Macaca fascicularis: one gene and its partners. The protein of the gene in region 1 interacts with the protein of each later gene in a pairwise test. Links are inferred from orthologs where the notes say so. Each region holds a gene or a part of one and is shown on either strand. Other genes may lie near its edges. The genes, in order: WWP2, ANKRD44, ENTREP1, galectin-9B-like, ATN1, RNF11 and PDLIM7.

Region 1 (4,069 bases):
AGGTGCATTTTTAGAGGCAGGACCAGGTTCACAGGGAAAGAAATTACAAAACGCAGGACTGTGCCCCAGATGAGGCAACAGCTTTCTAAATCTTAGCGCTGTCCAGTCTCAGAGTGAGATTATTTGGGAAATAGCTCTCAGTCCCTGCAGTTGTCTCAGCTGGTTATTTATGCCTTGGGTGGAGCTGGGTTGACCTCTAAGTTCCCCTAGGGCTGATGGCCGAGTGGGGAGGCTCTATCACTGAAATGGACCCAATACTAGAAACGGATCCTGTACGAGCTGATCAGGTTTGCCTAATCCAAGGGCCTCAATGGAAAATACCTCCCAAGGCCAGGCACAGCTGCTCACGTCAGTAATCCCAGCACTTGGGGAGGACGAGGTGGGCGGATCACCTGAGGTCGGGAGTTTGAGACCACGCTGGCCAACATGGCGAAACCCCGTCTCTACTAAAAATATTAAAACTAGCTATGCATGGTGGCGCACTCCTGTAATCCCAGCTACTCGGGAGGCTGAGATGGGAGAATCGCTTGAACCCGGGAGGCGGAAGTTGCGGTGAGCTGAGATAGCACCATTGCACTCCAGCCTGGGCGACAAGAGCAAAGCTCAGTCTCAAACAAAACAAAACAATACAAAACAAAACAACAAAACCTGAGCCTGGCAGCTTGGAGCCGGTTCTGGTCTCTGTCAAACTAAAGGTATCGGTTTCCTCCACTCCTGTCCACCAATCACCAGATATTCTCATTTTCTTCAGAAGCTCGGAATCCACATTTTTAAGTGAAATCACCCATTTTAATGTTTGCAACTTAATTCAAATTGGTTTAAATACTATAGCCCGAAAGAGGTATGGGCTGTGACCGTAAGCCTGATTTGGCCTCCAGCGGCCAGTTTCTGACCCCAGTTTTGGAGGGAATTCCTGCGTCCAAGGTCAGGTTTCTCCTAAATGCCCACTGGAGTTCGTGGGGGTGGAGTGAGGAAGGATCCACAACTCCGGATACAAACAGAAGCTCTCCTTCTCCCGGAGTCCCATCAAGGCTCATCCCAGGACCCTAATCTCTTCCCTTTGTGGGTTTTGACTCAAGGAACAAAACTCAGGGCCAAACCCATACAACCTCCTCCACAGGCACCAGGACTCCGGAGACCAAGCGCCTCGCCCTTTCCAGCACTCACCGACCATGGCGCTGGTGCAGTCCAGGGCGCTGATTGGCTGGACTCGTGCTTGCCGGGGCGACCCTGGCCGGGACTAGGCTCTCACTGGGCCGGGCGACTCCAGCGGCAACCTTGCAGGAGTCGTGTGTGTGGTGCGCGGTGCAGTCTCTCTCATATATCCTGCGCGGCTCATTTGAGTTGGACGTCAACAAGGGCGGGACCCAACGCCTGTATCCTGAGGTGCTGGGCTAGAGGATGCCAAGGCTGCAGCTCCAGGAAGGGAGGGAGCCTGGGGGGTGAAGGAGGAGCCCCTCCACTCCCACCCGCCCCGCCTGAGCAACTGGTGGAAGTCAAGAAAAGTCTCTGGGGGCTGGAAGAGGGGTTCGTGGGGGTGTGTGACAGAGGCCTCAAAAATCTGGCTGGAGGGGCTAAGGCAAGCCCATCTGCGCACTGTGCCCTGAGGTGCAAGGGGATGCAGGGTGGAAGTTGTTCCCAAGAGAGTCCAGGGATCGAGTGGGCCTGCCCTTTGAGCCTTGGCACGAAGTGGAGCAGAAAAAAAGCCGGATGCAGATTACTGTGGTGCCCCAGGCTCAGATTCTGCTGAGTCACTGTGACTGTGGATTTGGAAGGCTGAGAGCACTGGGGAGACATGTTCCGTGGAGATGAATTTGTTTCTTCCTTTGCAAGATTCAGATTCTGCACTTGGGGGCCCATACAACACACTTCCCTGGGTGCATGCCGCTGCACCACCCCTGCTCCTCAAGGCAGGTAATGGGGGAACTAATTGGTTTTGTTTCCCATGAGCTAAAGCAAGGCTGGTGTGGAGATAGCAGTTATAGGGAGGCATATTAAAGAATAGCCAAAACGGAGCCAGGCGCGGTGGCTCATGCCTATAATCCCAGCACTTTGGGAGGCTGAGGTGGGCGGATCACCTGAGGTCATGAGTTCGAGACCAGCCTGGCCAACCTGGGGAAACCCTGTCTGTACTAAAAATACAAAAATTAGCCGGGCATGATGGCGGGTGCCTGTAGTCCCAGCTACTCGGGAGGCAGAGCAGGGAGAATCGCTTGAACCCAGGAGGCGGAGGTTGCAGTGGATCGAGATCGAGCCACTGCACTCCCACCTGGGTGACAAAGCGAGACTCCGTCTCCAAAAAAAAATCTCTATAAAGAAAAAGTTAAAGATGTCAATGAAGGAAAAAGAACTAGAGCTTTAAAGTGGTAATGAACCATCACAAGAATTACAGATGGGGAAGGTGAGGATGACACAGGGCCCTTCCATTGTCCCTCCAGTGCAAAAGTTAAGGAGGTACCAGAATACTGGTGTCCAACTCCCGACTTTAGGTGATCCTAGCAGCTCAGCCTCCCAAAGTGCTGGGATTACAGGCATGAGCTACCGCGCCGGGCCCCATCATGACATTTTTGCATTCATTTTGATGCAACAAGAGAGGACTGTGTATTTACGAATTATTTTGGGAGGCCTAGGCAGGAGGATCACTTGAGCCCAGGAGTTTGCAATAAGCCTGAGCAACAAAGTGAGACCCCATCTGACAAAATAGTATAAAAGGACCTTTTAAAAAAGGGCTAGGCAGCCCTGTCCAATAGAACTTTTCCTATCTGTGCTGCCCAAGTAAGGTAGCAGCAAGCTTCAAGTAGCTATTGAGCACTGGAAATGTGGCCAGCAGCCAGGCGTGGTGGCAGGCGCCTGTGGTCCCAGCTACTCAGGATCTAAGGGGAAAAGATCACTTGAGCCCAGGAGTTCACGGCCGCAGTGGTGCACTTAAAAAAATAGGAAAAAAAAAAAAGTGGCCAGTGGACTGAGGAAGTGAAGTTTTAATTTTAATTACATTGGTTTTTTAAAACTTTATTTTTTGAGGCAGAGTTTTGCTGTGTTGCCCAGGCTGGAGTGTAGCGGCAGGTTCTTGGCTCACTGCAATCTCCATCTCCACAAGCAATTCTTGTGCCTCAGCTTCCCGAGTAGCTAGGACCACAGGCATGTGCCACCACACTCAGCCACGTTTTGTATTATTAGTAGAGATGGGTTTCACCATGTTGGCCAGGTTGGTCTCCAACTCCTGACCTCAGGTGATCCACCCACCTCGGCCTCCCAAAGTGCTAGGATTACAGGCATGTACCACTGCGCGTGGCCTTAATTAATTTAAATTTAGATAGCCAAATGTCACTAGTGTCTGGAAAGACCTGAGCTGATTCAGATCGAGGCCGCAGTGTGCTGGCTAGTCTATCTCCCACTCTTCTAGTGAGATTGTTTTCTCGATCTCCAGTCTCCCCAACCCATCTGGAGGTGGGGCTCAAAGCCCCAAACCTCGAGTGTCATATTCGGTCTTTGGTTTGCAGCATGACCAGCTCCCATCCTCAGTCATCTTGTTAACATGAACTATATAGGGGCCCACCCCAAGTCATCTCATTTAGCATAAACTGTCAGGAGTGGTCTGAGAGGCCCACAATGAATAAGATGGACATTCCTATCATTTGGGATTTAGAGGCTCAGGGGCATGATGATAGTTCACTGCAGCCTCAACCTTCTGGGGTCAAGCAATCCTCCTGCCCCAGCCTCCTGAGTAGCTGAGACAACAGGTGCATGCCACCATGCCTGGCTGATCTTTATTTATTTATTTTTGGTAGACACAGGGTCTCACTATGGTGCCCAAGCTGCTCTCAAACTCCTGGGCTCATGTGATCCTCGCGCTTTGATCTCCCAAAGTACTGGAGTTACAGGTATGTGCCACCACTCCTGGCCAAATTTGTTACTACACAGTGGTAAAGACAGACATCTGAGGTCGCAGTGAGCCGAGATCGCGCCACTGCACTCCAGCCTGGGTGACAGAGGGAGATCCTGTCTCAAAAGAAAAAAAAAAAAAGAAACTTAGTGGCCAGGCACAGTGGCTCAGGCCTATAATCCCAGC
Region 2 (3,500 bases), on another chromosome or scaffold:
CTTCTACCCTTCAATTTTCAGCCGCATTTAGAGCAGTGATCCTGAAGCACTGAACAGTCTTCAGTGCTGAAAGAAAGGTCAAATATGCTTTTTTGTTTGTTTGTTTATTTATTTATTTTTTGATACAGGGTCTTGCTCTGTTGCCCAGGCAGGAGTGCAGTGGTGCTATGTCGGCTCACTGCAGCCTCCGCCTCCCAGGTTCAAACGATTCTCGTGCCTCAGCCTCCTGAACAGCTGGCACTACAGGCGTGTGCCACCACACCCAACTAAGTTTTTAGTAAAGACAGGGTTTTAGTAGAGTATTCTTAGTAGAGACAGGATTTCACCATGTTGTGCAGGCTAATTCTATATATGGTGAATTATGGAACAGAGTAAAATATTGTAGAAAAGAATGCTAACAGGAGCTAAAACTAGAAGGGTTTTCTGTTTGGCCTCTAATTCATGAGGATACTTTTAAGTTGAGCCATATGAAATTGCCATTTTTGTGGGTCCAAATACAGTTAAGCAGTAGTAATTTTGTATGATTAAACAGTAATCTATGGTCATTTTCATTATTTTTTTTCTTTTATCAGTTTTTCCTAACTGAATTGTCATTGTTAAACTTTTCAGTGAGGAATGGCAATTGTTTTCAAAAGCATTGCTTTCATTTTAACACAACATTTTTTAAGGCTCTCTACTGATGTCTTGGCAAAACCTCACCATTATTCATTAGCATGGTAACAGGCATCACCTAGATCTCCTTGAAGAGAAGGCTCATATGAATCATCTTTTTTCTTCCCACAGCATTTACATTATGCCTGACTATAGGAGGTACTCAATAAATATTTGTTGAATAGCTGCCATGAATATTTTCCAGTTTTTACAAATAACTCAGCAAAATACTGGTGGCAATAAAAGCTAATGGTGATAATTTAGGTGAAATGAATCAGCAAATTGTCCTATAAAGGTTAACGATGTTTTCTGCTGCTTTGTTTGTAAAGGCCACCTGGATGTTGTGGCATTGCTCATTAACCATGGCGCAGAAGTGACCTGTAAGGATAAGAAGGGTTATACCCCTCTGCATGCTGCGGCCTCCAATGGACAGATCAATGTTGTCAAGCATCTCCTGAACCTGGGGGTGGAGGTGAGCTATAATGAATGCATCACTGCATGGCCTGTGTATTTGTGAGATTTCTGTTATTCTAAAGTTAAATCCTGTTTGCACTTTAATTCAAGGGCAGGGGAGTTGTTTTCTAGCATCCTGTCTTTTTAAGATTTTGTGGGCAACTGGTAAAGGGCAGTGGGGGCATACACTAAGCAGAGGAAAACTGGAAACTGAATAACTTTCTATATCAACATAGATAAATATATAGACATATAGATTCTATGTAATATTTATTAACCAGTTGTTTTTAAAGACTGGCCAAGGTTCTGCATCCCACCTTCCAAATGTAGCCTTCTAAGTCATGACTTACAGCAGAAATGAATGAATAAATGGCAGAGACAAACATCAGCAATGTCTGTTCTTGAGCTGGAGAAGTCGGACTGCTGCATTCTCCTTCTGCTGGTAGAACAGGAGCAGTGGTGAGGCTGGAACATCCTGTCCCCTAGGAAAGGAAAACCAAGTTGCTATACAACCATAATGATGAAACCAGGCACCCAGGGCAGGTCTCAGAAAGCAATAGGGGGCCATGGACGAAACACACCTCCTGACGGCACCACTGCTCTGCTACTAAAATGGAACCTGGTGAGGTGTCAGGCTCCAGAGCAAAACAGATATTAGGTTCTGACCTGCCTTCTGTGTTTAGGCTCCACAGCCACCTCTCCTGCCATCTCCGCAGCCACTACCTGCTATCCACTACCATTTCTTGAGGTTTGCTGTGCCCCAACCCTAGAGTGTGGGACTCTTTTTGTTCTCTTCTGATTTACTTCTCTTTTGGTGTTTTGAAAGCAGCTTTGCCCTTCACCTTCTATCCCTTTGTTAGCTGAAAAATACCTCTCCCCAGGATGAAACTTCTCTCTCTCCAGTTCATTTTTTGCCACATTAACGTTTTGCTGATCTTTACATGGGGTGACAAGCATTCCCAAGATGACCACGCTGGGGCAAGAGTAAGCTCTGAACAATTATATTGACGGATGGCTATTTCCTTTCTCTAGCCACAGCAATTATGCTTTTTGTGGAAAATGGAGTAAACTGGCTCCAATGACTTGAATCACCCTGTGTTGGACTCTTTTGCAGATTGATGAAATCAATGTCTATGGAAATACAGCGCTTCACATTGCCTGCTACAATGGACAGGATGCTGTGGTTAACGAGTTGATTGACTACGGTGCTAACGTGAACCAGCCAAACAATAATGGGTTCACCCCTTTGCATTTTGCTGCTGCCTCCACTCATGGTGCTTTGTGTCTTGAATTGTTAGTAAACAACGGGGCAGATGTTAACATTCAGGTATGACACTCTTGGTCTCTGTGTTGAATGCCTTTGCATTGAGCTTCTATTTGAGCAAAATCAACTGCTGCAAATGATACCATGTTTTAGTGAGTTGGAACCCTGAGCACTTTGACTCACACAGCCTTGTCCTGGATTTGGAGGCCATAAAAAAAGTTGTGTGGAAGCTGAGGTGGGTGGATCATGAGGTCAGGGGTTCAAGACCAACCTGGCGAAGATGGTGGAAACACCATCTCTACTAAAAATACAAAAATTAGCCAGGCGTGGTGGCGGGTGCCTGTAATCTCAGCTACTCGGGAGGCTGAAGCAGAGAATTGTTTGAACCCGGGAGGCGGAGGTTGCAGTGAGCTGAGATTGTGCCACTGCACTCTAACCTGGGCAACAGAGCAAGACTCCATCTCAAAAAAACAAAAAAACAGGTTGTGTTATTTTTATCCAGGAGTGGTGGTATCAGCTGAGAGGTACCAAGGCTCCAGCCGTGTGTTCTTGTTAGCTTAGTGAATGTGTCAGGACAAATACTGGATCTCTAGGATGTTGACTTGGCCCAGAAGCTAATACTGAAGTGAATGTTGAGCTGATAGAGCAGTGCTGCTAAGAATTCAAAGGGAGGCCTAATAATGATTGTGGGCCTGTTTCCAACTCCAGTGTGGGTTTAGAGCTTCTCAGATACCTTCTTCTTCTTTTTTTTTTTTTTTTTGAGACGGAATTTTGCTCTTGTCACCCAGGCTAGAATGCAATGGCGCGATCTCAGCTTACTGCAACCTCTGCCTCCTGGGTTCAAGCGATTCTTCTGCCTCAGCCTCCCCAGTAGCTGGGATTACAGGCACCCACCACCATGCCCAGCTAATTTTTTGTGTTATTAGTAGAGATCGTGTTTCACCATGTTGGCCAGGCTGGTCTCAAACTCTTGGCCTCAAGTGATCCACCTGCCTCAGCCTCCCAAAGTGCTGGGATTACAAGTGTGAGCCACTGTGCCTGGCCAATACCTTCTTAAAGCAAACCCCAAATAGTGGCTTCAGTGATGTAGCACTGAGCTGGTCATCACAATCATTCCTTTATTCCTCAAATT
Region 3 (4,096 bases), on another chromosome or scaffold:
CAGTCTGTAAAGGAAGTCCTAGGCACCATTAATGACATGTGCTTTAATAATTTAAGAAGTGTATATGTAAACTTGGGCACATTGACAGTATATCACATTGTGGATTAAAGTGTAACGACCAATATAAATACAGCTTCCACAAACAGAGTATAAAAACTGACACACACTTTTCTTGGTTTATTGGGTGGGAGGATGTTAAATACCTTAGGATAAGATAAGTTTTCTAATACTGGAACTGACTAACTGCCAAGAACACTGCTGTGGTTCTTATCAGGAAAAAAAGTCTATTATAATCATTTTAGGTACGAAACTTTCTACGCATTAGAATTCTTCCAAGGTGAAAAGATATTACTAAGGGAATTCATTTTGCAAAGAGGAATCATCTTTTTTTTTTTCTCTAAAGATTTTTCATATATTACCAAAATAGTTTAGGATTTTATTAGGATATTTCCTCGGAAGTTTGGGGGTTCCGTGTTCTACCAGGTGATGCCTAATAGATGCCTGATACCGCTCATGAGTCAATAAGAGGAGGATAGAGCGTAATCCTTGCCATGCGCTCCGGGCTGCCCCGGGTACTTTCTTTACGGATGCTGGATGCTTCCAAGGTAACCCAGTCCTTTCATTCCCGCTCCTACCGAGATGCCGGGAAAGCATTCCCGGGCTGATGCGGGGTAGGCAGGTCCTGCGCCCTGCGAGCCGTAACTGCGCTCGGCGTCGTCCTTCCCGAAGTCCTTGGCTTACGCCTCTTCCCATCGAGTCGCCCCAAAGCCCCTCCTCCAGCCATCCCCCTCCTTGTGGGGGCAAAAGTTTAAGGGCGGGCTCCCTTCTCATTAAAGCGCGCCGGGGCCTCTTTAGTGGCTGGACTGTAAACGGGTCCGAGGGTCCACGGCGCTTTCCTCGCTCTTCTCTAGCCCCAGCTCGGCGGGTGGGGACAGACGCTGAGACTGTCGGTGGCCGGCGCTGACGCGTCCTGGCCGTAGGGTGCCTCCCAGCTCGAGGGACTTATTTAAATATTTGGGGCAGGGCACCCTGCCAGGACCCCAGGAAGCCGGCGCAGATTTGGCGGGGACCCCGAGGCTGTGGCGCACTTGCCCCAGCGCAGCGCGAGCACTGGGTGCGCGTGGGTGAGAGTGAGGTTGCGCCCGGGGCCAGCAGGAGGCGGACCCGCCAGGCGGCAGGTGGGTGCGGCCGGCTGGAGCCAGGGCAGCGGCGGCGGCGGCAGCGGCGGCAGCAAGTGGTTGGGCCGTGCGCATTTCCTTCCCTCCCCCTCGGCCTCGGAGCCCGCCCGCGGTGCCCAGTGTGCGGCGCCTTCGGCTCCGCTCAGCGTCCCCTCCCCGCCACCGCCGGCCGCACCCTTCACGGTCCGTCCATGTCCCTGCCGGTGGTGCTCCCGGGCTCCTGCTGCCCCGTGGCTGGGCTTTCGGGTGGGCCGCAGACCGGGGGCCCGGGCGCCGCCGCCGCCGCCGCCCAGGAGCCGCCGCTGCCCCCGCTGCGGCCGCGCTGGCCCCGGGGCGCGCTGCAGCCCCCGTCGCGGCCTCGCTGCGCGGCCACCGCTGCCGCCGGGGTTCTGGCCGCGCCGCCGGCGCTCTCCTCCCGCCGGGCAGCCGCCGCCGCTGCCGCCGCGGCCCCGGGCTCTGCGCTGTTGCCCGCCCGCCCGCTGCTGTCACTCGGGCTGCTGCAGCTGATCCTGGGCTGCTGCATGGTGGCGCTCAGCTTCGGGGCGCTGTCGCTGAGCAGCTCTCCGCAGGTGAAGAACTCGTGCCCGTTCTGGGCCGGCTCCTCGGTGAGTACCGCGCGCGCGCCCCGCTAGCCCGGTCATCCCGTGGATAGGGGGCTCTGGTCGTACCCTTTCATTGTCCCTTAGTTGGCCTCCAGAGCTGCAGTTGGGGGAGCCTTAACGCCATCTGAAGTTTTTGGAGCCTGGAGAAAAATGTTCCGCGACGGTCGAGTTCAGGGGTGAATTGGGCTGCACCTGGGTAGTGTCTGTTGCGCGCAGGCTGAAGGATTTTATTGTCCCAGTTAAGCTAATAGAATTAAGCAAAGACACCCAGCTCTTTGGGAGATTGGAAGGACAGGGTGTGGGTGGCAGGAAAGTGGGAGGAAAGTGATTAAACTTCTTTTGGTCGTTGAATATTTGCTGCACTGACAACGTCTGTGCTGGGAGGGCAGGGATTTTGATCATTTTTGTTCACCGATGTATCAAGAATGCCTGGCACATAGTAGGAGTATTTGTGGGATGGGACAGTTTCGGACACATCGCTTGTTTTATTCTCCATTAAGACACACATAAATGTGAAATGTGTAGGGTGGCTCGATCCCCAGACGAGTTCAGGAGGTAATGAGAGGGTGTGTGTGAACTGGCGCTTGTACCTGGTCATTAAAGGAGGGCCTTAACCCCACTTGGTTCCTGGAGCCATGCAGGCTGCTGTGCAGAATTCAGTTTGTGAGAACCGGGACCTGTCATTAGGGACGAGCTGGCCAAAGGTCCTGGAGCACGCAGCAGCTAGCTAGAGATGTCTGCTCTCCAGGACCCACTCCTCCAACCGGGAACGCTGAGCCTGGGGCCAAAGAGTGCCCAACTTCAGAGAAAAGCTGCTGCCAGCCAGTATCTACGGACACCGGGTGGTCACTCCCCTCTACCTCCTAACAATCGCACAATGTCCAAGGCATGTAACCCCCTGAAGTTCTCTGGGTGTTGAGAGACTTGGAAACACATCTTTGTGGGATGACTATGGAAGATGAGTAAAGTAAATAACCTTCCTTTATATCTTTTTTTTTTTAATTTTTAATTTTTATTTTTTATTTTTAAGGGACGGAGTTTCCCCATGTTGCCCAGGCTGGCTTCCAACTCCTGAGCTCAAGTGATTCTCCTGCCTCGGCCTCCCAAAATGTGGGGATTAGAGGCATGAACCACCACAGCCGGCCGTAAATAACCTTTCTATGAACTCACTGTGTAAATCTGAAAGTCTAGCAATGCTGCTAGTTTTTAGTAAGATCTGTAATCAGTGTATGTCCTGAATGGTAAGAACTGCTTTTGCAGTTTCACACATACGGCAATTCAAGACCAAACTGAAAAAAAGGACTCGAAGAACTAGTTGAACCCAAAGTAATTGTTTAAATAAGAACATTAGGTTCCTTGAGACTCGCCTGAAATTGTATACTTCATCCAGTGCCAATTTGCTTTCCTTTTGAAATACTTTCATGTTGAATGATCTTATTGGGGTACATGCTGTGCTGTGGTGAGGGAAGACCACGATTTGTGCCTCATGTAGAAAAAATGCCACCCTAGTGGCCCTGCCTGTGGGCTCTGCCGCTGGCCTCCATGAGTGTTCAGGAAAACTCCAGAAGGATGGATATTCCAGATGGGGTAGGAATTAGACCTGTTATGCTACCTATTCTACTTGTCTGACTAAATCCAGCCAAAGAGTGGGTGCATTTCGTTTCTCTAAATACTATGGGCCAGTAATAATCTTGCATATATTTTTAGGAATTTGCTCTTCATAAAATCGTGATCTATTGTCTTCTCAAACATAGCTAGTTTAGAATTATTAAAAACTATTTTTTGTCTTATAAAATTAAAAGCTGATATCATTTACTATTGTGAATCATTTCAGAGGTAAATGCACTTAGATATCAGTCAAGCCACAGTTGAATTTGATGAAGTACCAAAAAAAAAAAAAAGAAGAAAAGAAAAGAAAAAAGGCCTTCAACCAGAAGGTGAAGGTTAATACTCCTGGTCTGGGCCGGGCGCGGTGGCTCATGCCTGGAATCCCAGCACTTTGGGGGGCCGAGGCGGGCGGATCACGAGGTCAGGATATCGAGACCATCCTGGCTAACACGGTGAAACCCCGTCTCTACTAAAAAATACAGAAAAAAAAAAAACTAGCCGGGCGAGGTGGCGGGCGCCTGGAGTCCCAGCTACTCGGGAGGCTGAGGCAGGAGAAAGGCGTGAACCCGGGAGGCGGAGCTTGCAGTGAGCCGAGATCGCGCTGCTGCACTCCAGCCTGGGCGACAGAGCCAGACTCCGTCTCAAAAAAAATAAAAAAATAAAAAAATAAAATAAAATAAAATAAAATAAATAGATAAATACTCCTGG
Region 4 (3,500 bases), on another chromosome or scaffold:
GTTGCTTAATCTTTCTGAGCCTCACTGCCTCACCAGGAACACAGGAGCTGAGGCTGCTTCCCTCATTGGAAAGCACTGAAGCCCAGGAATCGACCCACAGCAGGCCTTCAACAAATACCCCTTCTCACCTTACGGGTGAGATATGGCACTGGAAGTAACGCTCTTAGCTGTGGGAGCTACAGAAAGCAGTGAGGTCTCTATCAAACCCAGCCTCCTCTCTCTCGGGAGGAACCAATGGGGATACCCTACCCCCCAACCCCAAAGCCCTGTGCACCTGGGGGTAAAAATCTGGGGGCCACGGGCTCAGGAAGGCTTGCTTGGGAGCAAGAGGGAGGCGGGTGTGTCTGGGGAGGCATTTCTGAGCACAAGAGCCTCCCTGGAGTTCTGCCATTGTCTCTTCCCGTTCTCTGGTGCCCGCCATAACCACCGTTCTGACTCTCCTCACCCCTCCAGCCTCCCGGCGTGCGGCCCGCCAACCCGGCTCCCATTGTAAGTCTCTTGCTTTCTTTTTGGATCCTCTTCATTTTGGCTCTTCTGGGCTCATGGAGGAGGCGGGGCCAGGCATTGGGCCTCTCCCATTGGGAGTGGGGAGGGCAGAGGCCAGGCCCTTGACCGTCTGCCCGGCCTGGCGAGGTGGGGGGTTGGATGTGGTTGGCTGGCCGTGATGAAACAACCTGAGTTGCCAGCCTGTGGGCAGCCACGGAAGACCGTGTCCCACATTCCCTTCTCCCACCTGCAAAGGGAGGCTAGGCTGAGAGACGTTTCCCTGAGAGGAAAGATGGGCCAGAGCCACCAGCGTCCCCATCTGTCTTCTCCAGGGTTCTAACCTTTGCCCTCCCTCATCCCCTTGAGAGAAGAAACAGCTGGACCCACCCTCTGTGGGGTCTGTGGGGCCATTGGGCTGATTACGCCCCCTGGAGGTGCCTGCCGTGTGGCGCCCTCTGGTGGGAGCTGGTGGTCTTCACATGGGAGAGCCTGGGTGAGACCTGGTTTCTTTCCTCCAGACCCAGACAGTCATCCACACGGTGCAGAGCGCCCCTGGACAGATGTTCTCTGTAAGTCTACAAGTTCTGGCCAGTTCACAGCTGCACAGTGTCCTCCTTCACCAAGAACTAAACTCCCTAGAGCCCCAGAGTCAGGAAGAAAGCGGTTTAGCAAGGAGGATGGGGACATCTGGGGCTGAGTCCTTGGCTCAGGTGACATGTGGCTAAAGCTGTTCTTGGGACAGCAGAGATTCTGCAAGAAGCAGGATTTATCCAGTGGTGGAAAAGGCAGGTCCCCTAGAGACCGGGAGGGAAACTGGTCCACCTGTCACCAAGTGGGGAGTGCAGTGGCCCCAGCACCCGGATGTGAGGTTCCTGGCCCTGCATCCTACGTTCCCCGGATGTCACTCCTGATCAAAGGCTTAAGCTCTTCTCCTGCTGGTGCAAATCAGGCCGGGAGTTTAGCGTTAGTGGGGCTGCCTGTGGAGAGGTTGAGGGGCAGGTGACCGTGGTGGGGTCCGGGAACACGGCAGGAAGTTCCAGGAAGGCTAACATGAAAAGGGAGGTGGATGGGAGAGTCCAAGGGCCAAAGCCTCACGAGGTCAGCCTCACAGTGGAGGCCCCTCTGGAATGCGTGGGTGCGCGTGGGTGAGTGCTCGTGCACACATGTGCTCTCCCATTGAATTTCCTGGTTTCTTTTCAACAGACTCCCGCCCTCCCACCTGTGATGTACCCCCACCCCGCCTATGTAAGTGGCTTCTCAGGGAGGGCGAAGGTTCTGTTTGTGGTGGGCAGGCTGGGGGTGAAGAGCCGCTGCAGGGGTATCCACTGGCCTTGAAAAATGAAAAGCGGTCCTTTGGTAAGCTGAAGGGCTTCAAAGCATCCCAGCGAAGTAGAAGACTGTAGAGAGGAGCTTTCAACCTTAAAACTGTCATGTCAATGTGAGCACATTGCATGGCCCTCCCTTTTCATCCCACGAGTCTTGTTGTGTTTGGCCAAAGTTCCTTTTGTGACACTAATCTAAGCCCATGAATTTGAGGAGCGCTGGAAAGTTTTCCTTTGGCTTTTAGGGAACCAAGTAAAGCTATTGCGGGCTTCCTCTCAGCTGACAGCCCAGAGTCATGGGAACTGGTACAGTCCTCCCCTTCCGTGTGGCAGCTGCCCTGGCTGCCACTGGCTGCTCTGTCCCCCTTCTTCCCACAGCCAATGCCTTTTGTCACCACCATTCCGGGAGGACTGTATCCATCCAAGTCCATCATCCTGTCGGGCACTGTCCTGCCCAGTGCTCAGAGGTAAGGCAAGGGCTCCAGTGACCTCTGGGAAGAGAGAGCCTTTCAAGGTCATTCCAGCCATTCCCCTGGCTTCGGGCAGGCTGCAGATGACAGGGAGGAAATGGGGCTCAGAACTCAGAGGATAAAGCTTCAGGTGGGCCGCCCACCCCAGGTTCCACATCAACCTGTGCTCTGGGAGCCACATCGCCTTCCACCTGAACCCCCGTTTTGATGAGAACGCTGTGGTCCGCAACACCCAGATCAACAACTGTTGGGGGTCTGAGGAGCGAAGTCTGCCCCGAAAAATGCCCTTCGTCCGAGGCCAGAGCTTCTCGGTGAGGCACCGCAGTCTGGAGCTCGGAGAGGCTCCTGTGGGTGCACAGGGGGAGGGGTAAAGGAGGTCTGGGGTGCCTTGAACAGGATGGGGGCAGATGCCTCTGGGATGAGGGCCCAGAAGAAGAGAAGGTGGCCAACAAATTATTATTATTATTATTATTATCATTATTATTATTATTATTACTATCCCACATGAAGGAAGTGTTGGGATCTGCTTTTTCAGATGAGGAAAGAAACTCACAAGTGCAGGTTACTTGCTTGTGGTCACACAGCCAGTAAGTGTCAAATCAGATCCAAGAAGGAGGTGTTTTTCATTTCTTCACTTATTCATTCAACAATGATTTTCCTGTGGCCCGCTTTGTGCAGGAAGCAGCCCGCGTGCTGGGGACGCAGTCATGAAGCAGGCAGACCGGGTCCTGCCTCCAGGGGGTTTACAGTTTAGGTGGGGAAGGAACGAGGAAAGTAAAGCATGGACAGATTGTCACAGATAACGACAGTGCCACACACAAAGCAAAACAGAGCGATGAGATAGAGCGAGCCTGGGAGGGGCAGCGAGGGCCAACGTGCAGAGGCACGGGTGTGGCCTGTCCAGGAACAGCAGGCAGGCGTGTCCGCCCTGACTACACATTCAAACCACCCAGGGAGCTTACAAAGGAAATATCAGCGCTGGGGCCCCAGCCCAGGCCAGCGAGGCGGTCAGCTGGGCATTCGCATTTTAAAAATATGCCTTAAGTGATTATACTCTGCAATCAGGGTTGAAAACGGCTGATGTAGGGCTTTGCAGCCATGGAAAGGAGCTTGGATTTTAACACAGTGAAAAGCCACAAAGGAGTGTTTCAAGCCAGGGAGCAACATTCTTTGATTTGTGGACAGCTGTGTGACCTCGGGCAAGTGACTTAACTACTCTGTG
Region 5 (4,268 bases), on another chromosome or scaffold:
TAAAGGTCAATCACAAGAAAAGTGCACACACGTATATATACGACATCAGTGGAAAGGAAGAAAAAATAAGAAAATACCATTTTTGCTCTCAGAAGATCTTACAATCAGTAATTTGGAGGGACTTGACACTTAGCAAGAAATACGAACAAGCGCAAATGAATATAGCTGGCTCTAGGGATTTGGATAAAGATAGATACCTGCCTACTTACTGATAGACAGATATGGATGGACTGGCTTGAGGAGCTGTGTAACCCCGTCTATACCAAGTAGGAGGACAGGCTTCAAAACTGGTAAATCTGTATTGTTTGCTCACGGATATTTTGAGTCTTTAATCATTCATGTGAAAACCCTGACTTTTCCTCTAGCCTTAGGGAGCTCAAGTACTAGAGAATGAGTCCTTTATGAGGCTCTCAAAAGTGAACTTCTACAATTTGGGGCTACCTAGGTTTAGTCTTGGGATTGGTAGGGCTGTGTTCCTTTGTATTATAGAATGGGACATTCTTCTTCTACCTACTCTGATGTGAGAAAAGATTCTTTTCATATCTCTGTGACTGATCTAGGCCTTCTGAGAATTCTCCCCACCAACTTCTGAGGAGAATATAGCAAAGTATAGAAGAAAGAGCATGGGCTTTGAAGTCACAGACGTGGGTTTGATTCTGGCTCTGTCACTGGTTCCTCACTGTGTGAGGTTGAGCTAGTCACAATCACCATCTTTGAGCCTCAGTTCCCTCACCTATATAATGAAGGTAATAATGCTTACCATTCAGGGTTGGTTGTAAATATTAAATGAAATCATGTGTGTGAAGGGCTTGATATAAAGAAGGTACTCAATAAATTAATACTTGAACGTCATTTTTTTTTTGAGACAGAGTTTCACTCTGTCACCCAGGCTGGAGTGCAGTGGCATGATCTCGGCTCACTGCAACCTCTGCTTCCCAGGTTCAAGTGATTTGCTTGCCTCAGCCTCCTGAGTAGCTGGGATTACAGGCACGCGCCACCACGCCTGGCTGGGTTTCACCATGTTGGCCAGGCTGGTCTTGAACTCCTGACCTTGCGATCCGTCCACCTCGGCCTCCCAAAGGGCTGGGATTATAGGCGTGAACCACCATGCCCCGCTCCATTTCTTTATGTTCCTTTGCAAGGCTCCGTGGAATGTGTGCGTTCACAAATATCCTTTAGGGATCATGAAGGGTCAAACTGTGTCATCTCCTGGATTGGAGCTTGTAGGTACATCTGAATTTTCTGCCCTCTACAGAGGTGAAAGAGATTATACTTTAAGCAGAATCTCCCTGCCTTTTAGATAGCTAAGGTGGCCCATGGGGCAAGCCAGCAATGTCTTGTGGTATCTGTACCTCTTGGCCTAAAGGCTTAGGGTTGGGCCGCTTGCTCAGTTCTCTGACAAGCGTAATAGTATTCCTTTGTGACTCTATTCTCCCAGTGGGAGACTCTGATGGTTTCCTTCTAACAGGTTTCACTGAAAACAGATCCTGCAAAAGTTCCAGGTGCCTATACTGGAAACTTGGAGATCCTGCTTCCCAGACCACAGCTGTGGGGAACTTGGGGTGGAGCAGAGAAGTTTCTGTATTCAGCTGCCCAGGCAGAGGAGAATGGGGTCTCCACAGCCTGAAGAATGAAGACACGACAGAATAAAGACTCGGTGAGTTAAAATGAGAGATGTGAAAGATGAGGGGCGGGGCAGGCAAGCTAGGAGGAAGGGTCTAGAGAAGAACAAATAATGTGCACCATAAAGTTAGCTGCAGTGTAAAGAACAGTGTTACCTACCTCCTTCCTCCTCCTGCAGATGTCAATGAGGAGTGGACGGAAGAAAGAGGCCCCTGGGCCCCGGGAAGAACTGAGATCGAGGGGCCGGGCCTCCCCTGGAGGGGTCAGCACGTCCAGCAGTGATGGCAAAGCTGAGAAGTCCAGGCAGACAGCCAAGGTATTCTGTCCTCAGGTCCTCCCACAGGATGCCCAGGCACTGGGGCTGAGGGGGTGTGTGTGTTGTCGGGGGAACTTCCTGTTTGGCAGAGGGTAACGGTGAAACTTGGGAGGTAGGGAAAAGACAGGAATTTTCTTTCTCTCTAACAGAAGGCCCGAGTAGAGGAAGCCTCCACCCCAAAGGTCAACAAGCAGGGTCGGAGTGAGGAGATCTCAGAGAGTGAAAGTGAGGAGACCAATGCACCAAAAAAGACCAAAACTGAGGTGGGAGACCCTTGTCGCCATCCTGACCCATCTTGTGATCATTCTTTTCTCAGATTTCCTTATGCTCACTATTCTTAGCTGGATCTCTCCTGGGACATAAGAGAAAGGCCAGATCATAGTGCTTATGAGAGCAGTTCTGTCTCTAATATGCCAGAGAGAGTCTTAGAACTTTGACAGACCACCAGATGACCTGGCAGGGCCAAAGGGGACCAGAAGAGTTGGGGGATTCTAGTCTCTGGGTGAGAAGTCTTAGTGGGAGGAACAAATAAATCTTAAGGAAAATGCAGAAGTGGTCTTTCTTTTTTATTGTTTTTTTTGGTTTGTTTTTGAGACAGAGTTTCGTTCTGTCACCCAGGCTGGAGTACAGTGGCACAATCTCAGCTCATTGCAACCTCCGCCTCCTGGGTTGAAGCAGTTGTGCCTCAGCCTCCCGAGTAGCTGGGATTATAGGCATGAGCCACCACGCCCGGCTAATTTTTGTAGTTTTAGTAGAGATAGGGTTTCACCATGTTGGCCAGGCTGGTTTGGAACTCCTGGCCTCAAGTGATCCTCCTGCTTCAGCCTCCCAAAGTGCTGGGATTACAGGTGTGAGCCTCTGTGCCCGGCCAGAAGTGGTCTAAGAACCAAGGGCTTGGGGGATGGAGGATGGTTAAAGTGGTGGTTATGAGATGGTGGAAGACAGGGATTTGGAGTCAGCTGTGGGTAAAGACAAGGTGCTTGAGATGGATCCTTGAGGAAGGAATAGGGTTTTATAGGAGAGAAACAAGACTGGCTGCTAAGGAGCAGCCAAGAATGTGGGGAAAGTGGGAAATCCCCAGATGGCAAGAGGTACTCACCACGTCACAGTACAACAGTGTGCTGTGAGGGGAAATGATTTTATGCAAGACAGGCCCTAAATCTCAGGGAAGCAGGAAAGGAAAAGAGAAAAAATGAGGCTTCCCTTTTCTACAGCAGGAACTCCCTCGGCCACAGTCTCCCTCTGATCTGGATAGCTTGGATGGGCGGAGCCTTAATGATGATGGCAGCAGCGACCCTAGGGATATTGACCAGGACAACCGAAGCACGTCCCCCAGCATCTACAGCCCTGGAAGTGTGGAGAATGACTCCGACTCATCTTCTGGCCTGTCCCAGGGCCCAGCCCGCCCCTACCACCCACCTCCACTCTTTCCTCCTTCCCCTCCACCGCCAGACAGCACCCCTCGACAGCCAGAGGCTAGCTTTGAACCCCATCCTTCTGTGACACCCACTGGATATCATGCTCCCATGGAGCCCCCCACATCTCGAATGTTCCAGGCTCCTCCTGGGGCCCCTCCCCCTCACCCACAGCTCTATCCTGGGGGCGCTGGTGGAGGAGTTTTGTCTGGACCCCCAATGGGTCCCAAGGGGGGAGGGGCTGCCTCATCAGTGGGGGGCCCTAATGGGGGTAAGCAGCACCCCCCACCCACTACTCCCATTTCAGTATCAAGCTCTGGGGCTAGCGGTGCTCCCCCAGCTAAGCCACCTAACACTCCGGTGGGTGGTGGGAACCTGCCTTCTGCTCCACCACCAGCCAACTTCCCCCATGTGACCCCGAACCTGCCTCCCCCACCTGCCCTGAGACCCCTCAACAATGCCTCAGCCTCTCCCCCTGGCCTGGGGGCCCAACCACTACCTGGGCATCTGCCCTCTCCCCATGCCATGGGGCAGGGTATGGGTGGACTTCCTCCTGGCCCAGAGAAGGGCCCGACTCTGGCTCCTTCACCCCACTCTCTGCCTCCTGCTTCCTCTTCTGCCCCAGCACCCCCCATGAGGTTTCCTTATTCATCCTCTAGTAGTAGCTCTGCAGCAGCCTCCTCTTCCAGTTCTTCCTCCTCTTCCTCTGCCTCCCCCTACCCAGCTTCCCAGGCATTGCCCAGTTACCCCCACTCTTTCCCTCCCCCAACAAGCCTCTCTGTCTCCAATCAGCCCCCCAAGTATACTCAGCCTTCTCTCCCATCCCAGGCTGTGTGGAGCCAGGGTCCCCCACCACCTCCTCCCTATGGCCGCCTCTTAGCCAACAGCAATGCCCATCCAGGCCCCTTCCCGCC
Region 6 (2,707 bases), on another chromosome or scaffold:
GTTTCATCATAAAGTAGAACTTTCCTTTTCTGTTCTGCTTTCTGTATTCTCTACACATATGTGAAGAGACTGAGACACAAGACTGAAGAAATCTAGCCTCTGAAAAACCCATAGTTGGCGTTTATTTGCTCTAAAACAATTTAGTTATTTTTGTTTGTTAGATTCAAGGATTTAAGAGACCCTTTATATCATCCAAAGTCTTAAACCAGTTTGTTCCCAGTTTGCATGTGGATGACAGTTCATCAAAACTGGTCAACTAGGACTGAGACTAAGATTCAGGAAGTTAGTCTAGACTGGAAATAGTAATTCAAGGGTCGAAGAACTCAGAGCTGGCAGAGATCACAACAGAGGCTAAGAGTTTGTAGTATTCAAAGAGAAGCCAGAAAGTTAGGACCAAAGCCAAGGACAGTAGCACTTAGCTTAAAGTCTGCAAAGCGGAGAATCATGATGAGTAGAATCATGACGATGGGGAGATGTTAGATAGAATAATTTACAAATATTGGCATTTACAAAGCTCTTAGTTACCTCATGACTGTATCAGCTCTCTGAAGTGGGTGCTGTTATCTGCTTTATTCAAATACATTATTCAAATACATTAAGGGACTTGGTCCAAGCAATCACAGTAAGTAGCTGAGCGGAGACTGAAATCTCATAATTTAATTCTTCAGACTGAAAATCTCATCTTCTGAGATAGTAGTGTTTTTCAGACTGTTGATTCTGAGGATTCTGCAAAGGTAACCAAGGTGAGGGCTTGCGGATGGGGAGCCTCATCCCTCCTAGGCCACACTCCATCCCAGCTTCATTCCATCAGAGTTGCTCAGTTTTAAATATTATTATTATAGGCCAGGCACCATGGCTTACCCCTATGGTCCCACTACTCAGGAGGCTGAGGTTGGAGGATTGCTTGAGCCCGAGAGGTTGAGTTTATAGTAAGTTGTGTTTGTGCCACTGCATTTAAGCCTGGGCAACAGAGGGAGACCCTGTCTCAAATAAAAGGTGGGGGTTATACATATGACTCCTTTGAATGAATTGTGTAAAAAATCCATTGGATTAGGAGCAGTAGAATTCTAATTTCAGTATTGTCAATTATGTGACTGTAGGCAAGCTTGGTCCTATGAAATGGGAAAGTGAGTCTTAGATGACTTTCAGATTTATTTTTGCCATAGTCCAATCCATTAAAAAATTTTTTTCAAATTATTTTTAGAGATAGGGTCTTGCTATGTTGTCCAGGCTAGTCTCTTATCACATGGAAATAGTTCATTTAACATTGCATGCCAGCTCTTCAGTGATGTTTGTGTTTATATCCTTTAGGCAGAATGAGAATGTTTTGTTGTATGTTTTGTTCCAATAGCTGAAGTTGAGGCAGGGTGAAACACACAGTCAATACAGCCACACACTAGCCCAGCTTCCTGCCCTCCCAGGGCTCCCTTTCCCTTCTATCTCTGACTAAAAAATAAGCCCTCAAAAGGTTTTGAAAAAATAATCTTTTTCCTCCATATTTTAATATTTTAGGAACAAGTTCCAGTTCCAGTCTACCACCCAACACCTAGCCAGACTCGGCTAGCAACTCAGCTGACTGAAGAGGAACAAATTAGGATAGCTCAAAGAATAGGCCTTATACAACATCTGCCTAAAGGAGTTTATGACCCTGGAAGAGATGGATCAGAAAAAAAGATCCGGGAGTAAGTTTTAATTAATTTGTACATTTCAAAATTTTATTTTCAGGTTGCTTTTGAAAATTTTGCCTTTTCTCCTGCACTTTAGAAAGTCAGACATTTAATATGTTGAAACACTTTGCTTAATGCAAGAGAATGTTTAATTTTTTTTCATAGCTCTATTACTGGCTACTAGCAAGAGAATGTTATATAGTAATTACAAATTTTCACAGGCTGGGCACAGTGCCTCACACCTGTAATCCCAGCATGTTTGGAGGCTGAGGTGGGCAGATCACTTGAGACCAGGAGTTCAAGACCAACCTGGCCAACATGGTGAAACCTCATCTCTAATAAAAATACGAAAATTTGCCAGGCATGGTGGCACATGCCTGTAATCCCAGCTACTCGGGAGGCTGAGGTGGGAGAATCACTTGAAACTCTGTCTCAAAAAATAAAATTAAATTAAATTAATAAATAAAGAGAAAGTTAGTGAAGAGAGCTTTAACTTTCAGCAACCCAGTAAGTAGGCTGAAGTTAGTGTTTCTGTTTTACAGTTATTAAAATGAAAATTGTCTTAGTCCAGGATTACACTAAATAGTGCAAAAAAACAAAGTTGATCTAACTGATGCTTTTCTACCTAAAATAATCCCATTCTCCTTAAGGTATCTGCTATAGTATGTAGCTGTTTACAAGCACAGCAGTAAACTTGATCCATATGTAATCCATTTCTCTTTGCTCTGTTGATTGCTCCTAAGTCCTGCAAATTCTCGGGGGATTTAAATAAGAAATTGTGTATAGATCAACATTAGGAAAAAATTCAGTTTGCATGCTTTGGTGATAAGATGACAGGCAAAGCATTCTGATGTGTTACTCAGATTAACACTGTCTTTAATGGGATTTAAACAGTTTTCTGAATAGGACACTTCCGAAAATGCCTTCTGATTTCTCTCCATTGCTCCCAACAGGTGTGTGATCTGTATGATGGACTTTGTTTATGGGGACCCAATTCGATTTCTGCCGTGCATGCACATCTATCACCTGGACTGTATAGA
Region 7 (2,291 bases), on another chromosome or scaffold:
CTTCTGGGCCTTACGTTTTGGCTGGAAGAAGAGGGGAGAGGCAGACAGTAAGCAATAAGCGCAATAAGTAGACTGCCTGGAAGTAATGTTAGATCACATTATGGAAAACAGGAAAGAGTAGAGCAAGAAGCGCTTGGGCGTGGTGTAGGGAAGGCAGCTGGCTGCTACTCGTGTGGTCAGGGTGGGACCTCGTGGAGAAGACTGCACTCGAGCGGAAACTTGAAGGGGGTGAGGGGTGAGCCTTGAGATATCCGGGGCAGAGCAGTCCAGGCAGAGGGGACAGCCAGTGTCAAGCCCAGGACAGGAGCGTGCCGGGTGTGCCAATTTCAGGCAAGAGGCCAGTGTGCGAAGGCAAGGTGAGAACGCAAAGGAGAGCAGTGGGGGAGACAGGTGGGAACGAGGTCAGACCTGCTGGCCTCCAGCGTCTGCATGGGGCTTGGTTCTTGCTGGGAGAAATGGGAAGCGGTAAGGGGTTTCATGCAGGGGGATACAGCCTGTCTCGGGTTGCAGGGGTTGCAGGGGCCTGCTGCGGCAGCTGGGATCAGAGGGAGGAGCTGTAGGCCAGTTGTGTGTGATCCCAGGGGCCAGATCGCTGTGGCTCACCTCACATCAGGGAGGCTGTGAGCAGCACGCAGAATCTGGATATGCCTTGGGGGTGGGCCCCACTGGATTTCCTGGGGGACCTGGTGTGGGGTGTGGGAGGAGGGTGTGTTTGGCTGCAGCAAATGGGAGAATGGAGTTGCCATCCGTGTTACGGGGATGCCTGTGGGAGGAGAGGTTTGGGGCGAGGGGATCAGGAACTGAGTACTGGACATGGCAGGTCTGAAGGCGCAGTGGACGTCCACTCAGAGATCTTGGAGTTGGAGATGGAGGCATGGGAGTCCTGAACGGTTAGATGTAGTGTTTACTATGAGAAGGAACAGGGCCCGCGGCCAGCTGCCCTGTGTTCCCGTGACCCAGGGGAGGGCAGGAGGGGCCTGAGCCTGCCGAGTGACTGGCAGCTCCTTCCAGGAGATCATGCATGCCCTGAAGATGACCTGGCACGTGCACTGCTTCACCTGTGCCGCCTGCAAGACGCCCATCCGGAACAGGGCCTTCTACATGGAGGAGGGCGTGCCCTACTGCGAGCGAGGTACCCGCTGGCCAATGAGGGTGAGGAGGGATGGTGCATGGGGCAGGCATGAATCCAGGTCCCCTTCCTCTCTGCTCCCATCCTCAGACTATGAGAAGATGTTTGGCACGAAATGCCATGGCTGTGACTTCAAGATCGACGCTGGGGACCGCTTCCTGGAGGCGCTGGGCTTCAGCTGGCATGACACCTGCTTCGTCTGTGCGGTGAGAGCCCCGAGCCTTGGCCTCAGCCCCAAGTCCACCAGCCCTCTGTTCATTGCCTGGGGGATGCAGGAGAAGCTGGGAAGGGGCCTCTACTGCTGCCCCCAACCCCATGTGACTGGGTCTTTGCTGTCCTTAGATATGTCAGATCAACCTGGAAGGAAAGACCTTCTACTCCAAGAAGGACAGGCCCCTCTGCAAGAGCCATGCCTTCTCCCACGTGTGAGCCCCTCCTGCCCACAGCTGCCGCGGCGGCCCCAGAGCCATGGCCCGGCATTTCTGGGTAGGGCTGGCAATGGTTGCCTTAACCCGGCTCCTGGCCCGAGCCTGGGGTTCCCCAGCCCTGCCCCACCCGCCTTATCCTCCCACCCCACTCCCTCCACCACCACAGCACACCGGTGCTGGCCACACCGGCCCCCTTTCACCTCCAGTGCCACAATAAACCTGTACCCAGCTGTGTCTTGTGTGCCGTTCCCCTGTGCACCCGGAGGGGTAGAACTTGAGTCACGTGGCAGGGTGGAGAGTAAGAGGGGTTTCTTGGGCTGGCCATCTTGGTGGCCCTCGTGATGCGGACGTGGCAGGCTCATGGTTAGTGGAGGAGGTATAGGCGGGACCCCATGTGCCAGGCCTGGTGCCCACAGACATGAGGGACGCCACTGGTCTGGCCTGGCTTGGAGGTTAGAGAAGGGTAGTTAGGATGGGCGTGGTGGATCATGCCTGTAATCCCGGCACTTTGGGAGGCCAAGGCGGGCAGATCACTTGAGGTCAGGAGTTTGAGACCACTCCGGCTGACATGGAGAAACAACGTCTCTGGTAAAAATACAAAATTAGCTGAATGTGGTGGGGCGTGCCTGTAATCCCAGCTACTCAGGAGGCTAAGGTGGGAAAATTGCTTGAACCCGGGAGGTGGAGAGTGCAGTGAGCTGAGATCATACCGCTGCGCTCGAGCCTGGGTGGCA

The links.
Region 2: the proteins of WWP2 (region 1) and ANKRD44 interact in binary tests that used the Homo sapiens proteins (3 or more experiments, as listed by UniProt). The two-hybrid records come from large-scale screens. The link is inferred for Macaca fascicularis from reciprocal best matches to the Homo sapiens genes WWP2 and ANKRD44.
Region 3: the proteins of WWP2 (region 1) and ENTREP1 interact in binary tests that used the Homo sapiens proteins (3 or more experiments, as listed by UniProt). The link is inferred for Macaca fascicularis from reciprocal best matches to the Homo sapiens genes WWP2 and ENTREP1.
Region 4: the proteins of WWP2 (region 1) and galectin-9B-like interact in binary tests that used the Homo sapiens proteins (3 or more experiments, as listed by UniProt). The link is inferred for Macaca fascicularis from reciprocal best matches to the Homo sapiens genes WWP2 and LGALS9B.
Region 5: the proteins of WWP2 (region 1) and ATN1 interact in a two-hybrid assay, tested with the Homo sapiens proteins (2 studies listed by BioGRID and IntAct). The link is inferred for Macaca fascicularis from reciprocal best matches to the Homo sapiens genes WWP2 and ATN1.
Region 6: the proteins of WWP2 (region 1) and RNF11 interact in binary tests that used the Homo sapiens proteins (3 or more experiments, as listed by UniProt). The link is inferred for Macaca fascicularis from reciprocal best matches to the Homo sapiens genes WWP2 and RNF11.
Region 7: the proteins of WWP2 (region 1) and PDLIM7 interact in binary tests that used the Homo sapiens proteins (3 or more experiments, as listed by UniProt). The link is inferred for Macaca fascicularis from reciprocal best matches to the Homo sapiens genes WWP2 and PDLIM7.

Annotation. Positions count from the first base shown.
Region 1 is NC_088394.1:65,839,996-65,844,064, forward strand, and holds the start of WWP2 (NEDD4-like E3 ubiquitin-protein ligase WWP2), read left to right. Parts: upstream 1-1,269; 5' UTR 1,270-1,881; coding exon 1,882-1,914; intron 1,915-4,069. Other genes in the region: NQO1 (NAD(P)H dehydrogenase [quinone] 1), read right to left, coding at 1,168-1,174. UniProt on the Homo sapiens protein: E3 ubiquitin-protein ligase which accepts ubiquitin from an E2 ubiquitin-conjugating enzyme in the form of a thioester and then directly transfers the ubiquitin to targeted substrates.
Region 2 is NC_088386.1:92,729,447-92,732,946, reverse strand, and holds part of ANKRD44 (serine/threonine-protein phosphatase 6 regulatory ankyrin repeat subunit B), read left to right. Parts: intron 1-980; coding exon 981-1,123; intron 1,124-2,218; coding exon 2,219-2,431; intron 2,432-3,500. UniProt on the Homo sapiens protein: Putative regulatory subunit of protein phosphatase 6 (PP6) that may be involved in the recognition of phosphoprotein substrates.
Region 3 is NC_088389.1:100,052,906-100,057,001, forward strand, and holds the start of ENTREP1 (endosomal transmembrane epsin interactor 1), read left to right. Parts: upstream 1-1,296; 5' UTR 1,297-1,369; coding exon 1,370-1,783; intron 1,784-4,096. UniProt on the Homo sapiens protein: Functions as an activator of the E3 ubiquitin protein ligase ITCH in the ubiquitination of the CXCL12-activated CXCR4 receptor. Thereby, triggers CXCR4 endocytosis and desensitization, negatively regulating the CXCL12/CXCR4 signaling pathway.
Region 4 is NC_088390.1:36,110,016-36,113,515, reverse strand, and holds part of galectin-9B-like, read left to right. Parts: intron 1-453; coding exon 454-489; intron 490-1,004; coding exon 1,005-1,055; intron 1,056-1,689; coding exon 1,690-1,731; intron 1,732-2,186; coding exon 2,187-2,275; intron 2,276-2,426; coding exon 2,427-2,589; intron 2,590-2,956; coding exon of another isoform or gene 2,957-2,989; exon of another isoform or gene 2,990-3,500.
Region 5 is NC_088385.1:7,869,840-7,874,107, forward strand, and holds the start of ATN1 (atrophin-1), read left to right. Parts: upstream 1-1,468; 5' UTR 1,469-1,630; coding exon 1,631-1,657; intron 1,658-1,782; exon of another isoform or gene 1,783-1,801; coding exon 1,802-1,939; exon of another isoform or gene 1,940-2,017; intron 2,018-2,088; coding exon 2,089-2,202; intron 2,203-3,153; coding exon 3,154-4,268. UniProt on the Homo sapiens protein: Transcriptional corepressor. Recruits NR2E1 to repress transcription. Promotes vascular smooth cell (VSMC) migration and orientation. Corepressor of MTG8 transcriptional repression.
Region 6 is NC_088375.1:183,468,895-183,471,601, reverse strand, and holds part of RNF11 (RING finger protein 11), read left to right. Parts: intron 1-1,512; coding exon 1,513-1,682; intron 1,683-2,620; coding exon 2,621-2,707. UniProt on the Homo sapiens protein: Essential component of a ubiquitin-editing protein complex, comprising also TNFAIP3, ITCH and TAX1BP1, that ensures the transient nature of inflammatory signaling pathways. Promotes the association of TNFAIP3 to RIPK1 after TNF stimulation.
Region 7 is NC_088380.1:184,426,789-184,429,079, reverse strand, and holds the end of PDLIM7 (PDZ and LIM domain protein 7), read left to right. Parts: intron 1-1,011; coding exon 1,012-1,132; intron 1,133-1,219; coding exon 1,220-1,335; intron 1,336-1,471; coding exon 1,472-1,558; 3' UTR 1,559-1,791; downstream 1,792-2,291. UniProt on the Homo sapiens protein: May function as a scaffold on which the coordinated assembly of proteins can occur. May play a role as an adapter that, via its PDZ domain, localizes LIM-binding proteins to actin filaments of both skeletal muscle and nonmuscle tissues.